Arabidopsis thaliana: one gene and its partners. The protein of the gene in region 3 interacts with the protein of the main gene of each other region in a pairwise test. Each region holds a gene or a part of one and is shown on either strand. Other genes may lie near its edges.

Region 1 (3,315 bases), 2.1 Mb from region 3:
GTGTTCTCTGCTAATCTTTGTGATTCACAGGAAGTCTCTGGTAGCTTCTTAAAGTACATCAAAGGTTTGAAGCATCTCAAGACTATATGGATTGATGGAGCTCATGTTTCTGATTCCTCTCTTGTAAGTTTAAGCTCTAGCTGTAGATCTTTAATGGAGATTGGACTGAGCAGATGTGTTGATGTGACGGATATTGGGATGATAAGTCTTGCACGCAACTGCTTAAACCTGAAAACATTAAATCTGGCGTGTTGCGGATTCGTGACGGATGTAGCCATCTCTGCTGTAGCTCAGTCTTGCCGGAATCTAGGGACTTTAAAGTTAGAGTCTTGTCATTTGATAACTGAGAAAGGTCTTCAATCGCTTGGATGTTACTCCATGCTTGTTCAAGAACTTGATCTTACTGACTGTTATGGTGTAAATGACAGAGGTAATAGAAAGATATATGTGAACTCAAACCTCCGTTTGTGTTTTAGATATTGTCATCTTTGGTATCTTACGGTTTTTTGTTCCGTTGGGACCGCAGGGCTAGAATATATCTCGAAGTGTTCGAATCTTCAAAGATTGAAACTTGGACTCTGCACAAATATCTCAGACAAAGGGATTTTCCATATTGGTTCCAAATGTTCGAAGCTTCTAGAACTTGATCTATACCGGTACACTTTCTTGGTGGATTCTTGATGAAAAATGTGCAAGACATGTTTCGTTTTCTTACTGATTTCTGGTTTTTGAGTGCAGCTGTGCCGGTTTTGGAGATGATGGTTTAGCAGCTTTATCTCGAGGTTGCAAGAGCTTGAACCGACTCATTCTATCATACTGCTGTGAACTAACTGACACCGGGGTTGAACAAATCCGGCAGCTAGAACTTCTAAGTCACCTCGAACTTCGAGGGCTAAAGAATATAACCGGTGTTGGTTTAGCAGCCATTGCGTCCGGCTGCAAGAAATTGGGTTACTTGGACGTTAAACTCTGCGAGAATATTGATGATTCGGGTTTTTGGGCGCTCGCTTACTTCTCGAAAAACCTACGACAGGTACAAAAAATAACATTTATAGATGGAGATCTGGAAGCATCTATTGGAAACATGTTTGATTCTTGTGTTGTGTGTTTTGTTTGGCAGATAAACTTGTGCAATTGCTCGGTGTCTGATACGGCTCTATGCATGTTGATGAGCAATCTGAGTCGGGTTCAAGACGTTGACTTAGTTCATCTGAGCCGTGTGACTGTAGAAGGGTTTGAGTTTGCTCTAAGAGCCTGTTGCAATAGGCTCAAGAAGCTTAAACTTCTCGCACCTCTCAGATTCTTGCTCTCATCGGAATTGCTCGAGACGCTTCATGCTCGTGGTTGCCGCATTAGATGGGACTGAAAACATAAAGAACAACGCGGTTTCTTGTGTTGGTTAGTTTATACTGTTGTAGGTTTTTGATGTTTATAATCTCAATGTTAAAAATCAGTGAAACTTTAGTAGCGGTTTGTTTTGGATCCATATAAATGAATCGGTTTAAGTGAATTGCTGCGGTAAAATATTTTGCTATAACCGGTAAAAAAGATCGGACAACGCTTAAGTAATGATTTCTAGTTAGAAAGTTGTTGATGTGTAATAGATCTATGTGATGAACTGATGATCATATGTTTTTGAAGTCTAACAGAAAGCTAAACCAATCAGATGCAACATGTAACTCCTTTGTGTTCGAGCAATGATATGAATTATGCTTTCACATTTAACATTTGAAAACATATTTTTTAACTAAATAATTCAAAATAAGTTTTGTACAGCAAAAAATTATCTTGCAATTTTATAGAGAAAATATAGTTTTGTATTTACTTTATTTCTTTTTTCTAACACTATTAATTGGTATAATATATACACTTTAAGTAAAAATAAATCACTTTCTTTTTTCTTCTTATAATAATAACCAAATAATGTTAGTCAAACAAATAATGTTAATATCATTAAATATTCTTAACAATATACTAAATGCGTTAAGATTCATTGTTGTAAAAGTTTACCTGCTTACTATCCCACCATATCTAATCTATGCTTAAGCTTTTCCTTTATATATGCAAATCTTCAAATAAAAAAATAACAAGCCTAGAACACTAGAAACTTCAAAAAAGAAAAAAATCTTATGGAGAACAACAACGGCAACAACCAGCTGCCACCGAAAGGTAACGAGCAACTGAAGAGTTTCTGGTCAAAAGAGATGGAAGGTAACTTAGATTTCAAAAATCACGACCTTCCTATAACTCGTATCAAGAAGATTATGAAGTATGATCCGGATGTGACTATGATAGCTAGTGAGGCTCCAATCCTCCTCTCGAAAGCATGTGAGATGTTTATCATGGATCTCACGATGCGTTCGTGGCTCCATGCTCAGGAAAGCAAACGAGTCACGCTACAGAAATCTAATGTCGATGCCGCAGTGGCTCAAACTGTTATCTTTGATTTCTTGCTTGATGATGACATTGAGGTAAAGAGAGAGTCTGTTGCCGCCGCTGCTGATCCTGTGGCCATGCCACCTATTGACGATGGAGAGCTGCCTCCAGGAATGGTAATTGGAACTCCTGTTTGTTGTAGTCTTGGAATCCACCAACCACAACCACAAATGCAGGCATGGCCTGGAGCTTGGACCTCGGTGTCTGGTGAGGAGGAAGAAGCGCGTGGGAAAAAAGGAGGTGACGACGGAAACTAATAAGTGGAATACGTTTTAGGGTATTTTCAAGGGAATATGTAGTAAATAGTCATGGATCTAATTTTTTTAAAGAAATAGCCATGAGATACAATGTTCTGTCGGAAACACATGTATTATTACATGTATAACCTTAGACATTGAGGGGACAATACACTATTTGGGAGCGTGATGATTCTCGGTTTGAAATTTGAAATATTCAGAAGCTAACATTATATTCATTCTCTCGCACCAAAAGTAATATATGAGAAAATAAAAATCTTGTTTTTTCTTCACACCGCAAAATATCCTCCCAAAATCTAGCGCCGTCGTTGGCGATTGCGTTCACCGTCGGTTACTCTCATCTTCTTCAATCAAGCCCAGAACTTGATTGTCTCCTTGAAACCTTCTTCTCGTTCTTGTCGCCGTTAGCAATCCAAGTATTAATTTCTGATCCTCCCCTTGCCGACGAATCTGGTAAGGTAAGCCATTGATTTTCGTTTATTTATTGCCGATCTTCTTCTATTTCTTCCTCTTTATACTTCAATTGCATAGAAATTAACGATTGTGGCCAGATCTAAAGTTTGGTTCTTTTTCCCCTCTATCTCTATCTTCTTCTATGTCTTCCCATGTATACTTACATAAG
Region 2 (7,178 bases), on a different chromosome or scaffold from region 3:
TTATTATCCGTACGGATTTTATGAATTTTCGGATCGAATTCGGATCGGATATTTTCGGATTCGGATAATTTGGATAGAAAATTTATTATCCGTTCGGATTTTACTAATCTTTGGTTTGGTTTTTGTTCGGATAAGTGTCGGATTCGGACCGGTTTTTAAAGAGCTAAAAATTGTTCAACTTAAATAAAAATTGGTTTAATCTTTACTAAAATTTGGTTAAATTTTGCAAAAGTATGTATACTATTAACAAATGTAACTAAAAGATTTCCAATTTCTTTATTATTTAGGATATTTTGTTATTTATTATAAAATTACAACTAAATATAAATAATATTTTTGGATATATATATTTTTCAGTTTTCGGATATCCTCTCGGATTTCGGTTCGGATCGGATTCGGTTCGAGTAATTCGGATAGGAGAATTCATTATCCATTCGGATTTTGTAACTATTCGGTTCAAGTTCGGTTCCGGATCGGTTTTCGGATTTCGGATTTTATAGCCAGGCCAAAGCTTTTTCATGTACATGATTTCTTATTCTAAATAGAATTAGGATTAAGTAGCTTCTTTTTACTTGTTATTCAAACTTGAGGAGAAACATCAAACTTTGTTTATTTACAAAGTCTGATCAATTGTTGTTTGTTTACACATATAAGGTCTTCTTAATAAATGCGACTCTGCTTATGATTAGATAGTGAGATTCTCCTGTATGGCTAGAAAGGATCCAACAACGTTTCCTCCGACATCAGGGAACTCCTCACTTCCTGGAAGTGGTCGGACTTTGCCTTTCCGATCAACTTCCACCGGATATTTCATCAGATGTCCTCTCATCTCCGACACTTCCTCACTCCTAAACTGTTCCCAGTTCTCCTCCGCCACTGTTCTCACTTTCCTTACACACCCTAGACTCTCTGGCTCCACAAAGCAATCATCTAGCAGTGCCATGTGTTCTGCCCAAAGCGACATTCTATATCCGTAGATCTGCAGATTATGTACCAAGTATTATTGATACGACTAGGACTATGAAACCATGTGTGTACTATCTTTGTGTGCTATTACCTGACCCCGAGGACCTGACTGTCGTCGTGCCCATGTATGTTGAGGCTGGTAAGCTCCCATTGCAATCTCTGTATCTCTTGTCCCCTCCATTGATCTTTGGTTTATGTTTGCAGATCCAATTACCACATACTCATCATCAACAACCATCCCTTTTGAATGAACATATATCATAAATCTTCTGCTCTTTCGACATAATCCCTATAATACAGTTTCAATCAAAACTCATCAATCAATGACGATAGAAACCGCATTAGCAAGTCAAGCAGTTTGGTTTTGTTACCTGAGGAGTGTTCTCGTTGCTTGCACTTCCTGTACCCGATTCATTATTTCCGTTCACCATTTCTCGGTTTCCAAGACAGAAGAAATTCAAATAGTCTTGTGGGGAGTATTCATCTTCAAGCCCGGCCTCCACTAACGCATTGTAGATAGTTCCATACATCATTTGCATCGTCTTGTGCTGCAAAGACGATAACTATGACATTTAGTTTCACAATCTTCTAGTGTCTACTTAAATGATCATTGACCAATTTTTGAGGAAATATTAAGGGAAAGATCATGATATCAATATTGTCACATGGACTAAGACAGAGAAGGTTAACGGTTTGCAAAGACACAACTTCACTAGAATTACCTGCCAATATAGAATTCTTTGTGTAGCGGCGCCGGTAGGAACTCCTTCTGGCCACATTGGAATGACAATATATGCAGCAAACCGTTCCTTTGCTCTGATCTTATCAGCAATCTTCAACGCAATTTCCATAGGAATCAGGTTGTTGGCACCTACATGACCACAACATAGAATAAACAACCTTAAAGAAATGACCAAGGTTGTCAAGACCATTGTCTTAAGTTGAGAAAAATACTGAGAATAGTGCTCAACATTTTAATACCAAAGAAACTGAAATGTCAAAACCACAAGCAAAAGAGTTACCACAGACGCAGCTAAATGCACTGGAAAAGTGATAAAAACAATGTCTCTGTTCTGTGTATTAATTCATGTATATATACACACATTTTGAGAAAATTATCGTAATCTTGAGTTTTTCCTAATCATGAGCTCACTTGAAAAAACAAAGACAAACAAACCTATGTCCTTGTGAGCATTCCAGTCGTAGGAGGATCCAATGAAATACTGGTTCTCGATGTAGATGAAGTGTTGAGCTGCACGAATGGCCTTTACATATGCGGTGTGTATGCTCATGTCAATGAGCACATTCTTACCGCACACCAAATTCTGTCCAAACAAAATCCCTCTATCCATCAATTTCCAAGCCAACCAAATCATAATGACAGCACAAAGTTTCTTTGATTTTTTCACCTCACCTTGCTTGTAGCATATTTTGGATCCTTTGGAAAACCTTTCACAGAGTTTGAATCGATTGACCGGAAAATCTGATTTACAAAACCAGACAATTATTAGCTTCAGAAATTTGGGACAATATTTGTGGACCAAAGTATAAAATTTGCATGGTTCAACTGAGAGATGGGCATCTTTCCATGGACTTTGTGAATTAATCAGAACCAAACTTTAATACAATGGTGCGTACCTGAACATGCCAAGCCTCGGGGTCGTTTGCACTAACAGTAGGAGCATCCAAAACTCTTAATATATCTGGAATCCTGTCGATCCTTAGTAGTGCATCATCATATGACGTCTTCAATTTATTGATTCTGTGAGGCTTAGCAGCCTTCAGCCACCTCTCCTCAAAATTTGTCAGCACATCATACGCAGCTGGGCCATCAATCTTACTGTGCAAGTCATGCCAAGGTTCTCTTGGACAACCGGACACGTTACCCTTAATTACATTTTAGTAATCCAAGTCAAGGCTTTCCCATTCAGAACAAAAGAAACTAGCAACTAAGAATTACTTAGGTAATCACCAAGAAGAACTTGAGAAGACAGACAAAGATTGAAGTACCACTTAATAAAGTTAAAAGCAGTATGTTTTTCCACTGCCAAAGGTTATTCCTTGCTATAAATTCCTTAAGTATTCGACACCAAAGTTACACTAATATATATTTAGAAAGGCAAGCAGACATACCGTGAAAGTGGGGTTGTGATAGTCACCATTATGATCTGTTTGCAGTGTCCTAAACAACGGATGTTGAGGAGTATCATATCGGCCATCACATAGATCAAGCCCGCCCACAAAAGCTACGATTTTCCTTCTGTTACCCCCAGCATCGGCATCTACTATTAAGTTTTTTTGGTGGTGTGTATAGATGGTTCCAACTTCCTGATGGACTAAAATATAAATAGAAGCCGGATACCACAACCAAAAAAAAGACCAAAAATTCATGTTCTACCCTCTGTTTGACCCAACTATGTCGCTTTCCAGCATTTCGAGGGCATAGCAAGACTTGCACTGAGGAGTCCTTGAAAAAACGGCGTGTCTCCTCGTCATGGGTTCCCATAACCCCATCCTGTTCATGTGAACAAATTGTGTCAATACCTAAAACATACATGAATAACCATATCTAAACTATGTCATCTAAGATACATATATCTCTATCTAGTTGCAGGTTTCTGCGTGAAGCAAACATTTCTCATACTTACTAGATTCAAACTGAAGATTAAACCCACCAAAAAATTTCTGGTCTACAAGGAAAAGTAGGCTAACAAATAAACGGAAGGAACCTCAATACGACTTGAAGAAGCCAAAGCTGTTGACTTCCGAGACTCTAAAAGATGTTCTGGTTCCTACCCTATATAGCCTAGCTAACATATGCACTTCACAACCAATAAAGAAGTAGGGACTTGAGGTTTCCAGTAACTTACGGTCATGTATCCCAAGATGTTTTGTGAAGTTGGGTCGTCCCAAACCAAAAGCAGGACTCTCACACCTTCTTGGGACTTTGATCTTAGGAGCTCACCTAGTCTACATTCTGAAGAAGGATCTTCTTTATCCCGAACAAGCCTGACATTATGCCACACTGACCAGCCTGTAATATAAATCAAACGTCTAGCTTGACAAATGGCATGAAACATATCATGCCAACACTTTCCATGTTCGTAACACATTCCATTTCCGAGTTTTATTCCCGGGAGCATCCCTTCAGGTACATGTGCATCTTGGTACAATGTGACACTTCCACCTTCCCTAAGAGGAAAATATGTTCCAGGCACCCCCTGGTAATAGGGACCTGCACCAACTCCGCTGTGATAAACACTGAGTTTATTCATTGAAGTATACTGAATCGACAATGATAGAGTTGCCCCTGGTTTACAAGGCTTTCCATTGCTGTCTCGAATGGAGTAAGTCCCTTCAATTCTTGCACCTGAGTAAATTTGTTCAACAGGGATTGTAACAATTCCTATAAGCTGTGAACCGACGGCATCACTGTCCTTAACAACAAAATGGACCTCGGCAGCGTGATGAGCTACAGGGACATAAAAATGCTGCTGCCAGACAGGATTTTCGCTGTTGCTAATGACATATGTTCTTCCTATGACAGCACCAGCGACTGATATGGACACGTAAGGATCACTAGTGATCTTCTTGCTCAACTGGCCTTCGATCATATTGGTCATGCCACCAAACACAACACCCAATGTCTTATGAAACAAATCTAAGTTTGGTAGATTATTAGCACAAGAAACCCAAATATCCAAATTACCATGCAACAAGAGGACCTTCAAGGAGGCTTTACCAAAGGGCACAATGTGCATACCGGGACTATGCGGCGATGCGGTAGATGTAAAACCATGACCAGACGAATCTAGCCTGCCTGAGTATGATAAATCTGAATGACTTGAAAACGAAGCATAGTAACTCACTGGAGGGTAAGGAGGAGGAGGTTGGTGTTGGTAATCAAAAGAAGCATAGTAACTCATTGGAGGGTGGTGGTGGTCTAATGGACCCGAATGAGACATTGATCCATGGTGATGAGGCGGTGCTGGGTAAGGAGGATTAGGCCGCGGAGGCCTGTAAGGGTAATAAGGGTAATTCCAACCATAATTCTCCATCGTAACTAACTAACACCACAACTGACTAATTCATAAAGAAATTCAAACGTCTTCAACGTTTTCTCCGATCAACATTTCTTCATCAGAAGCGAAATTTCAAAAAAGCAACAATGGCGGTTTGCGAATTGATCAGAAGAGAGAGATATATAAGTACATTCGGATCACAGCGGAGCTTAGTTCCAAGGAATTAGGTGAGACTTACCTTCGCTGAAAATGGAGGAACCGTTGTAAAATTTTGATCATCGCTTCTTCGCTTGGGGGAAGAAAGAGTCTCTCGATTTTGATTTTATTGGTTTTGGTTTTGGTCAACTTAACTTACTATTGCCGGTCACATATTTCCACTTGTCAACCTTTTTTTTTTTTTTTTTTAATATATATATTATTCTCTAAATATAAATAAAATATATAACATTATGACTTTTAGTTAAAAATGCATATTAGGTAAAATCTCTATAAATTAATAATTTTAAGATTGATAAAATTTATTAATTTGAAGAGATATTAATTTATAAAGAAATTTTACAAATTATGTAATTTCTTATAATATTCAATCAAAAAAGGTATTTTTTTTCTTTTCTTATAATCAATAATATTTTTGAAACCAATTACAATTATTAAACAATTATCAAGTTTAAAAACCAAAACTAAATTTTTCGATTTAGTAAAAATATTAGAATTAAATTCTACAAAGAATTAATACAAATTGAATACTATATTCATATTTTAGTATATATCTATATATATATATATATAAATTAGTGAATTTATAATATTGATGGGACCAAATATTTACATATGATTTTCACAAAAAGTTATTATTTTATTAATTTATCGATTTGTATCAATTCTTACACTGGTTTCAACTCGGGATTGAATGAATTTATTAATTTATAAAGTTTATTAATTTATTGAATATTAATTTATAGATGTTTTACCTAAGACCTGACGGTTTTATGGGCAACATACAAAAAAACAAAAAATCCAAGATTATTTTGAAAGGTTTTAAAATTTAGGGCCAATTATCGTTAAAATCAATAAAATTGGGGCCATTTTGTAAATAATTTTTGTTAAAGAATTTGAAAAAAAAAAAATGGGCCACACTAAATGTTTCATATTGCTTGGCTACCCCTGCATAAGAGTTAAGACAAGTACGCGGACTAACAAAGTTCATTTTCTTGTTCAAGTATGTACTTTACTGTTGTTTATTTTTCTGCAGCTTCACAATATCATAGTGCAATTCTATAGCTTTCTTGGTTATACATAACAATATTGATATTAACCATTCAACTTCTTCTACGTGAGGAAGATATCTGTTGAAAATCACACTTTCACTCTCAAACTACCTCTTCCAACATTCTTTTGAGGTCAGCACTCTCACTCTCTTGTCACTCTGTTTTGCTTTTGTTTTCTTTAGAGAGAAACAAGAACACGTTTAAGAGCATGATGTCTTGATAATAAAACTTGGGTGATTCTCTTACAAGATACAAACACACATACTTATTATAGTTTTACTTGAAACACTTACACACACAAGCATGCTCTTAAACGCATAATTAACTCTGATTTCTTGCAAGCTACTCTACTACATATTGGGACTCTAACAACAAGCATGCTCATAAACACAATTTATGTTTCTTTTTATTTCCTCACCTACTTTGCAGTTTCAAGATGCAGAATCTCTTAATTTTTTTATTATAGACATAATAACTTCTGTGAAAGATTGTAACTAAATGTATATGTTTTATTTTGGTTGCATTTGGTACTTGAGAAAGAGGAACTAGTGTCACCAGAATAACTCAAACTGCACGTAATTATCATAAACAATAAATATACAATTTACAAACATCATTTCAGAATCCATTTTGTTTAATGAGGTTGAACCTATCACCATATAAGCTATTTAGAACTCTTGTTGAATATGTTTGTGAATCCATTCTATTGTGTGTTTCTTTGTTTTGTAATAACTCTGGTCATGAGTTTTGAGTAGAGAGACATTAAAAAAAGAAGCACATTTACAAAATCCTAAAAGTTCATTACAACCATCGACCAAAAGGTTTGTTAGACAACTTATCTTAATCTTGTTATAGCTAATTCTCACACGAGAATCCAAAAGACTAAAAATCCATAAACGTAGATAGAAAGATAAACCCTAAG
Region 3 (4,157 bases):
GTACTTAAAATTACTCGAAACTTCTTGAACTAAAAATAATATAAATTTTTTGTTTAGACTAAAATGATCATTTTTTACGATAAAGATACATGTCGAGTAATTATTAAGAGTATCCAAATTATCCGTTTGAATTGTTAAAATATTTAAAATTATTATAATTTTCCGGCTACTAAAAATTCTCTAACACTTCACAAGATTATTAAAAAAAACTCTCTCTCTCTATTTGTACTTAAAATAACCCAAATTTGACCCATTCTCATTTGGATAGCGATTTTTAAATTATTGAATTTATCTACCATATCATATCTTATCAGTTGTTTCCAAAACTTAGAAGTGAAATTAAATTGGTTATTTATTTTTGTTTGTAACATAACTAAATCAACCATCAAGTCAATCTCGAACAAACAATTGTTATCATCCATTATCCAATATTAATTACTTTTTTGTTTTGTTTTGTTACAAGTGAATACTATTCACATGATTTATAAATTAGTATTATTATTCACTCCACAACATTTTGTATCAGATTAGGTTTCAAGTTTATAGTTACACAAAAAATGGATTCCGAAATCTTTTAGATTAAAAAAAAAAAGGATCAAAAGTTCAAGGTACACAATCTTTTTATAAAACTGCCGACATGATGCCATATCGCTCATGATTGCATTTATTTTTTTGCATTAGCTCACAAGAATGTTAAAAATTAACGATAAGAAAATCCATTTAATTAGGGGGTACGAGTACGAAAATAATTAAAACAAATATTAGCGTTTGGTGGTGCATAACTCAGCATAAGTCATAAAATAAATTGTTGTCACGATATGTGAAGAAAATCTCGTTGCGATGAGACGAACGACATAAAGAAAATCTTGCGTATCTGACAAGTGGACTAATCCACTTATTTTCAATGTCAGTCTCAAAATGGGAGTTATTAAAATTAATGTTCGTTCTTTTTATTTTATACACACATTTATTTTATATATATATTTATATTATATACAGTAAAACCTCTATAAATTAATAACATTAAAACCATAATATTTTTAATTTATAGTACTATTAATTTAAATGTCTTTGGGTATTTTAGTTGGCAAAACTCAACTAATTACAGGTAACTTTCTTTTGTGATGTCGACAAAAGAATTCTGAATAATTTTTAAGGGTTTCGATTTTTGCCATTTCACGTAAAACACGTGATACTGGGCTACTGGCATTTACGGCAGAGTAACTGGTGGCAAATATTATTACCAATATACTATAAACAAATAAATAAAAAGAACAAACACTAGTATTAAATTTTGATTGTTTTATAACTCAATTAAGTTTTGATGTCAAAGTCTACTTACCAATCAATTACCTCACTGATTTGTCTCCTTTTCAATCTTTTCGATTGTTTTATGGAAACAGCTTTCTAAAAAAGATTAATTTTCACGTAATCACAAAACAAATGTTCACATTAGCCCAAATCTAATAACCACATTAGGTTGGTCCCAAAAATTTAAAAACAAAAAAAAACTTTTTTAGACAGAGAGACCAACTTCAATACATTTAGTTTCATGTATTTTAAATAAGATTAGTATCTTCGTGTTAATTTCCAAATTCAAGCTTATAGTAAGTTAGTAATAATGTATATAATGACGTGGCAAAGGATAAATGTCTCTTTAAATGCACGTAGCAGCCGGAGGAGTGACCCACCTACCTAGTGTTAAATTCTCCTGCCGGAGTTTGGTCCCCACGCGACCTTCTTCTTCACCGGAGTAATAACGCGCGTGAGCTCCACCGCGTCGGGACAAAACTAATGTCCTCTCAAAAAAGCAAAAAAAAAAAGAGAAAAAAAACCAGAGATGGTGAGCTGTGTGAAAAGGACCCCACCACACCCATGTGCTTCTCCTTCCTGTCTCCACCAGCTCCCTCCTTCTCAATCATTAGCTTCTTCTCTTCTCTTCTCTCACAGAGAGAGTAATCACAAGCCAAGTGAGAAAAAGAAAACACTAAACCCAGATCGAAAACCATGTCTATTAACAACAACAACAACAACAACAACAATAACAACGATGGTCTTATGATCTCATCAAACGGAGCTTTAATCGAACAACAACCATCAGTCGTTGTGAAGAAACCACCGGCGAAAGATCGACATAGCAAAGTCGATGGAAGAGGGAGAAGAATCCGTATGCCGATTATATGTGCTGCTCGTGTTTTTCAGCTAACGAGAGAGCTTGGTCATAAGTCAGATGGCCAAACAATTGAATGGTTACTTCGTCAAGCAGAGCCTTCTATTATAGCTGCAACAGGAACTGGTACAACTCCAGCGAGTTTCTCAACTGCTTCTGTCTCTATCCGTGGAGCCACCAATTCTACTTCTTTAGATCATAAACCCACTTCTTTACTTGGTGGTACGTCACCGTTTATACTTGGGAAACGTGTTAGAGCTGATGAGGATAGTAATAATAGTCATAATCATAGTTCTGTTGGTAAAGATGAGACCTTTACGACAACACCAGCTGGGTTTTGGGCTGTTCCGGCGAGGCCGGATTTTGGACAAGTTTGGAGTTTTGCTGGAGCTCCACAAGAGATGTTTTTACAACAACAACATCATCATCAGCAACCATTGTTTGTTCATCAGCAACAGCAACAACAAGCTGCAATGGGTGAAGCTTCTGCTGCTAGAGTTGGGAATTATCTTCCGGGTCATCTTAATTTGCTTGCTTCTTTATCCGGTGGATCTCCCGGGTCGGATCGAAGAGAGGAAGATCCACGTTAATGGTTTAAGCCCTTTTAGGTTTGAGGGCAAAATTTGGTATATATATTTATTATCTTCTCTTCTCTATTGTTGTCATTGTTTCTCTATGTGTGTGTTTTAGTGTTGTTAGAGATTGATTTGGTTTCAGAATCTCTGCAAGTGATTTGAGAGTTTTCGTTAGCTTTAAGTAAGTTAAAGACGGTTGTTTTTGATTAGGGTTAAATTAGGGTTTAAGAATCTGTTGTTTTTTTGGAGGGAGATCGATTTCTTATCGGATCCAAGATTACTTTTAGGAAAAAAGGGAAAATTTCAGAAACCACGGTGGTTTCTTTTCCTCTTTTTTTTTTTGTGTCTGTTTTTTTTTTCCGGTGAAACAGAGCCGTCGATTAAAATTTCAGATATATATTTAAATGTTTTAATATGGTTTGTTGTTGTTGTTGCTAATTGTGTAATGTGTTACAACAATTGTGGTGAAGCATTTGCGTAAGCTGTTAACCACGTTTATTTCTAATAAATGTTTCGAATTCATATTGTTCCTTCCTTCTCTGCATTTATTGATACACAAAAAGCTTTATGTGATAGTGATTGTTTCGTTGAAATCGAACCGGATGATGGATTTTTGAACAGAATCATAATAATCTCTTATTTTTTTAGTGGATATATGTATGAATTGTGGATTTTGAGATGCTATTTATTTTTGGCGTTTCGCGTCTTGATTTAATGCAAGAACTGAACAGAGGATTTAGTAAGAAAAAGAGACAAACCAGTTGTGTCTGAATTCTTCAATTTTGTTGCCTTTTTGTTTCATATGAATCTTTGTACTGTGCTTTTGGAAGTTTGGTTTGTCACGTTAGTCAGAGAAATATTAAATTTAAGTACTGTTAAAACTATATGGCGACATGATATCTTTAAATTAATTGTCTATATTTTTGTTCTAGAAACTGTTACAATTTGAAAGATTAAAGGTGTTAGAATTGTCTCTTCTCTTGTTTGAGATTAGCTATCTAAAAAAATGTGGGTGATACACTCGAACATGAGTTCAAATGGTTGTTTTAATTTTGGCAAAAACCATTTTCACTGTTGTAATAATTTGGACTATCAAAAAAGTAAATTTTATTTTAACCCCTGATATAGTATAATTTCTTATGCAAAGTATATTTAAGGTACAAATAGCATAGATTCAATGATTTCGTTTGTGGTTTTCACAGCTATATATCTGCTGAGTAATGTATTTAACCAATAATTTATTTATCACGATAATACCTGATGAATAAATGTCAAAGTGATTAGATAGGCTTCTTTAGACTATTTAGGTCACACTAACCAATCAAAAGAATCAAACAAATTTTCTCATTAAAATAAGAATCCATTAATGGAAAGATCTTAACAAAAAGTTGGTGTTTTTTCTTTCTTAATTA

What was found. The genes of interacting proteins can lie anywhere in the genome.
Region 1: the proteins of AT5G23280 (region 3) and NF-YC8 interact in binary tests that used the Arabidopsis thaliana proteins (3 or more experiments, as listed by UniProt).
Region 2: the proteins of AT5G23280 (region 3) and PLDBETA2 interact in binary tests that used the Arabidopsis thaliana proteins (3 or more experiments, as listed by UniProt).

The regions. Positions count from the first base shown.
Region 1 is NC_003076.8:9,940,114-9,943,428, reverse strand, and holds NF-YC8 (nuclear factor Y, subunit C8), read left to right. Parts: upstream 1-1,981; 5' UTR 1,982-2,129; coding exon 2,130-2,693; 3' UTR 2,694-2,760; downstream 2,761-3,315. Other genes in the region: AT5G27920 (F-box family protein), read left to right, coding at 31-430, 527-656, 739-1,033, 1,121-1,366. UniProt on the Arabidopsis thaliana protein: Stimulates the transcription of various genes by recognizing and binding to a CCAAT motif in promoters.
Region 2 is NC_003075.7:105,695-112,872, forward strand, and holds PLDBETA2 (phospholipase D beta 2), read right to left. Parts: upstream 5,312-7,178; 5' UTR 5,025-5,311; coding exon 3,837-5,024; intron 3,482-3,836; coding exon 3,365-3,481; intron 3,295-3,364; coding exon 3,100-3,294; intron 2,854-3,099; coding exon 2,605-2,853; intron 2,450-2,604; coding exon 2,381-2,449; intron 2,292-2,380; coding exon 2,144-2,291; intron 1,838-2,143; coding exon 1,689-1,837; intron 1,515-1,688; coding exon 1,338-1,514; intron 1,256-1,337; coding exon 1,058-1,255; intron 980-1,057; coding exon 686-979; 3' UTR 556-685; downstream 1-555. UniProt on the Arabidopsis thaliana protein: Hydrolyzes glycerol-phospholipids at the terminal phosphodiesteric bond to generate phosphatidic acids (PA).
Region 3 is NC_003076.8:7,841,010-7,845,166, forward strand, and holds AT5G23280 (TCP family transcription factor), read left to right. Parts: upstream 1-1,597; 5' UTR 1,598-2,007; coding exon 2,008-2,760; 3' UTR 2,761-3,640; downstream 3,641-4,157.